Linked DNA regions of Oryzias latipes. The protein of the gene in region 1 interacts with the protein of each later gene in a biochemical or structural test. Links are inferred from orthologs where the notes say so. Each region holds a gene or a part of one and is shown on either strand. Other genes may lie near its edges. The genes, in order: bmpr2 and bmp4.

Evidence for each region.
Region 2: the proteins of bmpr2 (region 1) and bmp4 form a complex in vitro, tested with the Homo sapiens proteins (2 studies listed by BioGRID). The link is inferred for Oryzias latipes from reciprocal best matches to the Homo sapiens genes BMPR2 and BMP4.

The regions. Positions count from the first base shown.
Region 1 is NC_019860.2:15,312,674-15,316,492, reverse strand, and holds part of bmpr2 (bone morphogenetic protein receptor type-2), read right to left. Parts: intron 2,678-3,819; coding exon 2,492-2,677; intron 1,347-2,491; coding exon 1,167-1,346; intron 1-1,166. UniProt on the Homo sapiens protein: On ligand binding, forms a receptor complex consisting of two type II and two type I transmembrane serine/threonine kinases.
Region 2 is NC_019880.2:7,804,880-7,809,405, reverse strand, and holds the start of bmp4 (bone morphogenetic protein 4), read right to left. Parts: upstream 2,897-4,526; 5' UTR 2,532-2,896; intron 1-2,531.

The DNA.
Region 1 (3,819 bases):
CATGCTTCAACGACCCTCAGATTTTCTCCCACTTTAGGACACTCCAGTGGCTTTGAATGCTATCAGGATAGCGGCGACCAAATATCCCAAATGCGTCTACAGCGGCTCCACAGAAACCAGAATCAGTCACATGACCCTATCTTCTGTTCTTAAGTAATGATTGTTGGTTCACGAATAAAAGTGATCTTTAAACTCCCCTGGAACTTGAAACTTCTAATTTTTGGAACACCCAATGAAAGCAGAGCCAACAAGACGACAGTAGTCCTAAAGGACATAGACATACAGACGATAGATTTGAGATTCATCAGCAGTCGACAACCTTCTTTGCTTTGTAAGAATCCCTGCTAGCCCTTTGACTCCTTGTACTCGTGTTTAGATTATTTTGGATTCTGTCATTGCTCAATGCCTGCACGAGACCGGCCTTACAGTCAGTCAAAACAGTCATTTGGCAGCCATTTGGCAAATGACTCCATTTCCCACCAGCCGCTTCACATCACGCACACCAGTTTCTGCCCGGGCACGTCGGACTCAGAAAAGAAATCCAATATTCCGGGACAATATGCACTGGGAGTTTTACAAGCTCTGATCAAAGGCGAATTCCTTTCTTTTTCACTCCGCCGTCGTCTGTCTGCACAGAGAGACGGTCGCCTGCGTGCCTGCAGACAGGCGGAGAGCAGACGCCGCGAAATCCCTGGAATGCAGAAAGACAATGTGCGTGCCGGAGAGTGTGTGTTTGTTTGCATGTCGGCAGGAGAAGCGAGACGAGCCGGCGTTTGCTACCAACCCTCACCCCCACCCTTCCCGCCACACATGCTGCTTTCATTCATCACTCAAAACGTGACAAACAATTAACAACACTCCTGTTACACACTCCTCGACTCTCCAAAACCACAACAGACAGGCAGCAACGCAAACCGCTTCCTGTTGGCTGTTGCGTCACAAGTAGGGAAGATAATCCAACCCGTACAATCCGTAAATTATTTCTTTCGTTCACTTATCCTTATTGTTTATCCTCAAAGTTAAATAAACATAGCAGAAGTGACATAAACATTCAATTTAATGTTTTTAAAGGGTCAAATCTAGCTTCCATCGCAGTTTTATTGGGAACCAAGCCTAAAACAGAACGAAGGCGCCACACAACAAGACAAAAGTGTGGGGCTGCTTACAGATGGGCTGCGCCGTGGTCGGACTGGGCGTCGGGAAGTCCTCTGTGAAATTTACATTGCACATGTCGCTGCCACAGCAACAGAAGTGGTATGTCCCATTCTGGATGAGAGGTGGCAGGTGGGTGACCACGCAGCGGTCCTCGCGGCAACCGTTGTGTTCGGCCAGATGACTCCAGCAGCCTGGGGGGGGGGGGAACAGAGGAAAAGCTTAGTTCCTTCCTGCTCCCATGATGCAATGCATATCACTTTTTTTTTTGTCTGGAAACTTATTTTTTACTGAGATGAATAGATAAAGGGAGTCTATTGTATTTTGACCAATGCACAGAGCAACACTATCTAAATATAGCTTGAAAACTTTATTCATAAAATAAAATAGGATTAAGTTAAATAAACTATTTAAAAAAACACAAGAGTTTTGATTTAGATTTTAAAAAAGAGCTTTGTGCAGGGAAAATTCTTGTTTTGAGTTTTTAAGCAACTTTAACAAAAATCACGAACTTTTTCTGTAGAAATGGCAGCTGAATACGTTTTTCCCCCACCTCCCTTTAGTTTAGATATTTATTTATGTACAAACTCAGGTCCAAGTATAAAAACCACATGCATACATAAAAGACAGTGTAACATAGACTAGTAAAATAAAATAAAATCACCAGTAAAGCACCATAAAGTAAGGAAATACTATAAACAATTTAGTGCTATAGGCATGATATATAGATATATAAGAATAAAGTTCATCTCATTGGAGGCTTTTTCACATGCAGTCTAATTAATCTTAGCGGTTTGTGGAATCCTGACACACAGAGCCTTTCATTTATCGGAATAGAGCTGTGAAACAAAAAGTCCAGAGCAAGATTCACGAGATTTGCACTGCTTTGACATATGACACCAAATCAAATCAAATCAAATCAAATCTTATTCATAAAAAGCGCTTCTCAGACATTGTGCAGCTCGAATCGCTTTACAATTAAAAAAGAAAACAGACATTGAGTACCGACAGTCCAGTATGGACACTATATGCTGTAGACGTAAGCTTGAACGCGCTTGATGTGACCGCGGCATACGGCGCAACAAATTATAGGCTACATTAGGCACAACAAAAAATTCATAGACATTTGTAGTATGACTGCAATACCCAAAATGCCTATAGGGGCCAAGTGGCTGGTAGTTACTAAAGGTAGTAGTAGTTTTAGCAGTAGATGACCACATTATGCATACATCTAATACAACTTGTGCCGGTATTCTCAAATGTACATCAAACAACTGAATGTTCTGAACTAAAATGTGTTTTTATCTGAACACAATCCAGACTTTTAGGACTAGAATACCTTGTTTGACCAGCCGCACTTCGCCGGGAGGACTCTTCTCCCACAACCCGAAGCAGTGGCTGCCCTTGGCACATCGGATGGTGGTGTTCTCTGGGGACACCCGGCCTTCGCCTTCGGCCACGCGCTTCACCTCCCCCTGCTGCTGTTGGTCTGTGAAGGCACACTCCCTCTCCTCGCCTTGCGCCGCTGTGAAGACAAGGAGAGTTGAACATTCAATTTTGAGAAATTTGGGTTGGATTTCACCAAAAGTTGGTGGTTAGGCATCGAAAGTAAACACAATTATTAATCATTTTAGAGTCTTATCCCAGCTGTTTTTTTCTAGTAAATCCTTGCAAAAGGCGAATGATCAGATTTCTGGGACTTGACTGTACAAACGAATAACCAGGTGGTGAAAACCAAAAAAAATTGCCAAGGAACATTGTAAGATGTTTTAGTGAGGGACCAAAACAAACAACAAAAAAAACAACTAAACTGGAGGAGAAAACAACTAGAGGTTTTCTTTCCAATGACTTTCAGAGCGGAATTTTAATTGACGTGGTACAGGATGTGTTGCGCAACAGGTTGTTTGCTGCTTCATTTGTCCAATTTCCTGGTACAAAGGGTAGTTTCTCTTAAAAATTCAGTGCAAAATATCAACATTTTACCATATTTAAGGCACTTTCGTTAGAAAAATCTAGATTTTGTTGTCAGCAGTGATGTCAGACTGAGAGGTGGATATGCCGATATGAGGGAAATTGGGTAAAAAAAAAAAAAAAAAAACTGCCGTTACACAAACAAAAAGATGTGTAGATGAAATTGTTATTTTACACCAGTTGGGTTTTTGTCACTTACATGCATTTTGTTTGTATCTGTGAATGCGCTCTGCTGCTAAAAACAGAGCCATTAATAATAAAAAGGCGGATACAAATACACTCATCCGCTGTACTCTGGCACGGCACAGACGCAGTGCCGCTGAGCCAACCCCAGGAAGAATGTGCAGATAAAAAAACAACGGTCCATCTGCAAACGCTGCTGCAGCTCACCAACCACAGGATCAATAGAAAAACCAATTTAGACTGGAGCCTGAAGGACGAAATGCTCGCAGAGAGAACAGAAAGGCTCCATTTCCTTACACATTCAAATGATTGACAACACTGCAAAGCTTTGCGTGATGCTGTCAGTAAAAACTGGAACCAGAGCCCAGAGTTGTTGATCTGATGTGAAGATCCGGGAAACGCAGGGTCGTGCCAGGAAGGAATCTTCTGAATGTCACTGTGTACACAGACGTGGGTCATTTCTGATAAGAGAAACACGATGTGCCACTCTGTTTTCCTGAGGTCTAGCTCCTC
Region 2 (4,526 bases), on another chromosome or scaffold:
GACATGTTTAACAAGCCTCGTCATACAGCTCTAATGGTTGAATTTGAACACGACACTTGGAGGGCTAAACGTTGCTGAATCACACTAATAAAATTACTGAGTTTCAGAGTGACCACGCCAACTGTAGGGCATCGTTTGTTGAGCTGGAGAGCACCCAAGCATTACAACGCAGAGGATGCATATTAGCAGTAAAAGAGAGTGAGGCCATAAAATATGGGTGTTTTACAGTGTGTGAGCATGCCCGGCTTGGTATCTGTGTGATTAACTCAGCCCCTCAATAGCTCACTGTACATGCAATCAAGGATCCCTTTTCCGAACAGCATTAGACTCTGACCTCAGCTTGACCCCCACCCCCTTTCTCGGTCATGACATTAGATCCAATGTGTGTGAAAAAGAAAGGCCCAAGGTGCAGGCGTGCGCACACACAAACGAATCGGCGCATCCATGTGTCGGTTCGCGTGCACGTGCCGCAGCTCGCGCATTCGTGAGAACTGTGGCAAAGAAGGGAGAGGAGGGTTCAGAACATGATCAGCTCGATTACCCATGGGGTGCTGCGATGTGTGTGTGTGTGTGCAAGTGAGTGTGTGAGCCTGTGCGTGAACATCTCTGACAACAAACGTTCATTGTACAGAGAGGGCCTCTCCCATGATTACAGGGATTCATAGCACTCAAAAACACTGACCAAACAGAATATCTTGTAACTGTAACCAGCCACTGACAGAGCTGCAGGCTACAGCAGACAGACACTCAAAGTGATGCGATGATGATGAAAGAAGATGCGAAGCAGACACTGGCCTGTTTTCAACTTTGGAGATAAAAATACATTTGAGTTTCCACTAAATCCTGTAAGTCCCATTCCCTCATCAGAATCCCAGAGAAGGCAAAGCAGAGCCCGCACATTAAGACGTTTTCAGAAAAGGCCTCAGTCTTTAAACTGAACAGCAGACAGGAACACTTTTTCCAAAAATGAAAATAAAAAAATGGAGACCAGAGCGGAATTAGGCCGCAGCAGTCAACTGCCTCTTCTTCTTTTTCTGTTTCTAACTGACCAGCGATAATGTGATCAGAGTTTGCACATGGCTCCTCAGATGTGTCTTCTAAGGAATTTGACAGTTGTGATAGAAAGAAATAGAAAGAAAGTTGGAGGGAAGCAGGTTGCCTTGGAAACAGACAAATCACCTGACCTTATCGTTTTATCTAGCAGCAAAAAAGTTCAGCGAGACAGTTCTAGTCTCTGAAGCTGGTGCTTGTAAGCACTGAAACAGCTATATGACAGCTGTCCCAGGAACCAGACTGTTTTTGTGATCAGTAATAAAAAATGGCTTGTTTGCTTTCTTCAAAATAAACCTAAACTTACCAGAGACTAAAGGAGTTTAAACAATCAGAAGGGCCTGCTGTTTTTCCTTCGCTCTTCTGAAAAATGCATTCACAGTCAGTGAGATCACTCCAAGCAAATTAACGGTTTTGTTGGCCTTATAGTTTTGTTGAAAGGCACAAAGGATGGTGTAAAAGATGAGCTGTGTGCCTGTTTTTCCTCTTCCTTAAATATTATGGCAAGTGATTTGACTGGCACTGAAATCAATCACTTAAACTGTTGCAAAATATGCATCATTTCTAAGGAGTCAGATCCTGGGTCAAAGATTTGCAAAAATGAGGAAAAAAAAGAGTGATTTAAGCACTAAATATGGCATACCATCTTCTTAATGTGCTTAAAAAAGGTCCCCATGCTCAAATTTGAAGGCTATAGGTTTCCTTAGAAATGCACAGAAATGTGTAAATGATGTGGCATGTGCCCCAAGTTGCATTTTTGTTGCAGTTTTGCAGCTTTATGGACGAAAACGACACAATGTGGCTTTAAATCAACAAACGCAGTGGTGAAAAAACATTTAAAACATGAGTTTTAATTTTATATAACAAAGAAAATGAACGTTTTTATTTTGTAGTTTGACAAATACCATAACTAGACAAAGTGGGACATGGTTTTACGCACAAATCAATATAAAGCTAAATGTCTTTTTTTTAACAGTTTAAATCACGTTGGACAAATCTGAAGAATCAATCGACCAGCGGTTTTACTCGTACCTGGGCGTCATGACGAAGAAGTAGGTGTTTAATTATTCAGACACTTTTTGGGACTTAATATAAAAAATAAATAAAAAAGCCACAAAACCCAGAGAAAATCAAATGTGTCTGCTGGTCCACAGAAAATGGAGCGCAACGAAATCGGACTCTCTGTTTGGAAATGACCTCACTATCCTGACATTGCTTAAGTCTAGGGCACCAAAAGCTGAGATCGCGGGGCTGGTGGTTGCGCGCTTTTATCTCACTTTGACGCGCCTTGCGCTCACGTTGTCCTAAAACTTAGGATTTTTCTTCTAAAACAAAAACTGAAGTGATGTGATCTGCTAGAAGCAAAATCATGACATAAGTTAAGAGTGGTGAAGCCAGACTCCTGAGCATGGTATTTCAAAGGTTTGCTCCATCTAAAGTGGCTCACTCATGCGCGACGGTGTCAGTGGATGAGCGCTTACCATCAGTAGAGGTACAGGTATCCTCAAATCAATAGGAAAAAAAAGAGATAATGAAAAGTGCTCCAGGCCTTACGCAGGAATAAACGCCCAAATGAGCCTAAATGAGAAACTTGGTGCGTTTTTTAGGCTCATTAATCCCTTCGTGGCACCTCCTCACGGAGCCGTGGACAATCGGCGCTCTGCGGCGGGGTTTCTATCAGCCTCCAGAACAGTCTGTATGGGCGGGCGGTGAGGAGGACGCACAAGACTTCGCAAATGATCAAACATCTCTGGTCCCTCGCAGTTTTTATTTCTCCGCCCTGCCTCCTCCTCCTCCTCCTCCGTCTCCGACCTCCCCATACACCTTGGATAACCCCCCTCCCCCCTCCCCGTTTGACATTCGCCCCCACTTTGAGCGCATACACCTCACTCATTTACCTGTTTTTTTTTTGTTTTGTTTTTTTGTTTGTTTCGCTTTTTTTTCTTAAACTTTTTGATTCATAGTTACAAAAAAACGACGCTGCTCTGAAGGGTTGAGCTCCAACAGTAAACTTCATTATTAAACTACTGGGGACAAAATTAATATTTTAGTTCAGACTAGTGAAACAACTTTACCTTCACCACGTTCTTGAATTATATAAGCTATAGTGTAAAATAATCTAACAATAAAAATTAATTAAATAAGGCTTTTTCCTGGTACTTGCTCTCTCACTTGGGTTATTTATTTATCCCATTCTGGGGTTTTTCCTGTTGGAATATATTTCTGGTTTACTGTTTTGGATCAAAACTAATGTTTTGGGTCATTATTTTAATGTTTTTTACTGATATTTTTTGTTATTTTCTGAATTAAAACAACCCAGAAAAAAGTTAGTCCCTTTTGAACCACGTTGTTAGGTTAAGAAAAAACCCAACTTGGTTTATTTTGAGCTATAATTTCTATATATATAATTTATAATTTATTTTAGTGCGTGTCTTAATGTCTGAATTGAGACTTAAAGAAGCCATCATTCGATAAACGTTTTATATTTATATTTATTGTTTGAAATTTTTATTTTTTTCATTTTTTTATTCATTCAAGTAAAAATAAAAATGATAGCAAAAAAATATCAGAAATGTCTGCTAGAGGCTTGTGTTCAAGGCTCTGAAAAAACTTATTTTTACTCAGCTTAAAGACTTTGAAGTGAAAATTAATGATGGTTGAACATCCACACACCTTAAATTATCTTCTTTTGTAATACCTCAATATTTAGATGGACAATTTAAAATCAAAGAGTCATTTATTTTATTTGTCTTGGCCTAAATGTGCTCTTCAGTCACACTGATTGGCTTTTCTTGGAACGTTCTTGTCCTCTGTGCTCTGGAGTTAATGCATTCTGGAACGTTCTTCGGGTCTCAAACGTTCGAGAACATAATTCCTGCATGACTCTTGTTACTGGGTCGGAACTGGTTTCATTTCATGTCAACACCATCAGTGAAGCCATCAAGGTTTCAGCAGAAACCCGTCACGCACACATTGTTTCTTTGTCAGATTTTACACAAGGGATATGCATGAAATTGTTGTTTCAATTACATTTTTTATCTTTCAAAATTCTAATAATTGCTGGTTAATGCGCGAACAAATGTTGCACCATAATAAATAACCAAATAAACAAGAATCTGCTAAATAAACACAGGGAGGCTCACTTACACACCTCTCAGTGTGGCTTTTGGAAAGTTTTTAATCCTCTTTAAATTGAAAGTTATAAAATTGTCGCAGTTGTTTTTCACAACATGTGAATGTCTTTTCAATGATCTGCACACATTGGCATGAAATTCAGAGTTCAAAAAATACATTTTCTATCTATTTTCACCCGATTCATATTTATGACAAGCATAAACCAGAAGAAAATTTGAGAAAATGACCACAGAAATACTGTAGTTTTTTTCCCTTCACATTATTTTTTGTGAAGAGCCAAATTTTAGAGCTAAATGTATTATTGTAAAGATTACATGTATCTGATTTTTGTCTTATACAAG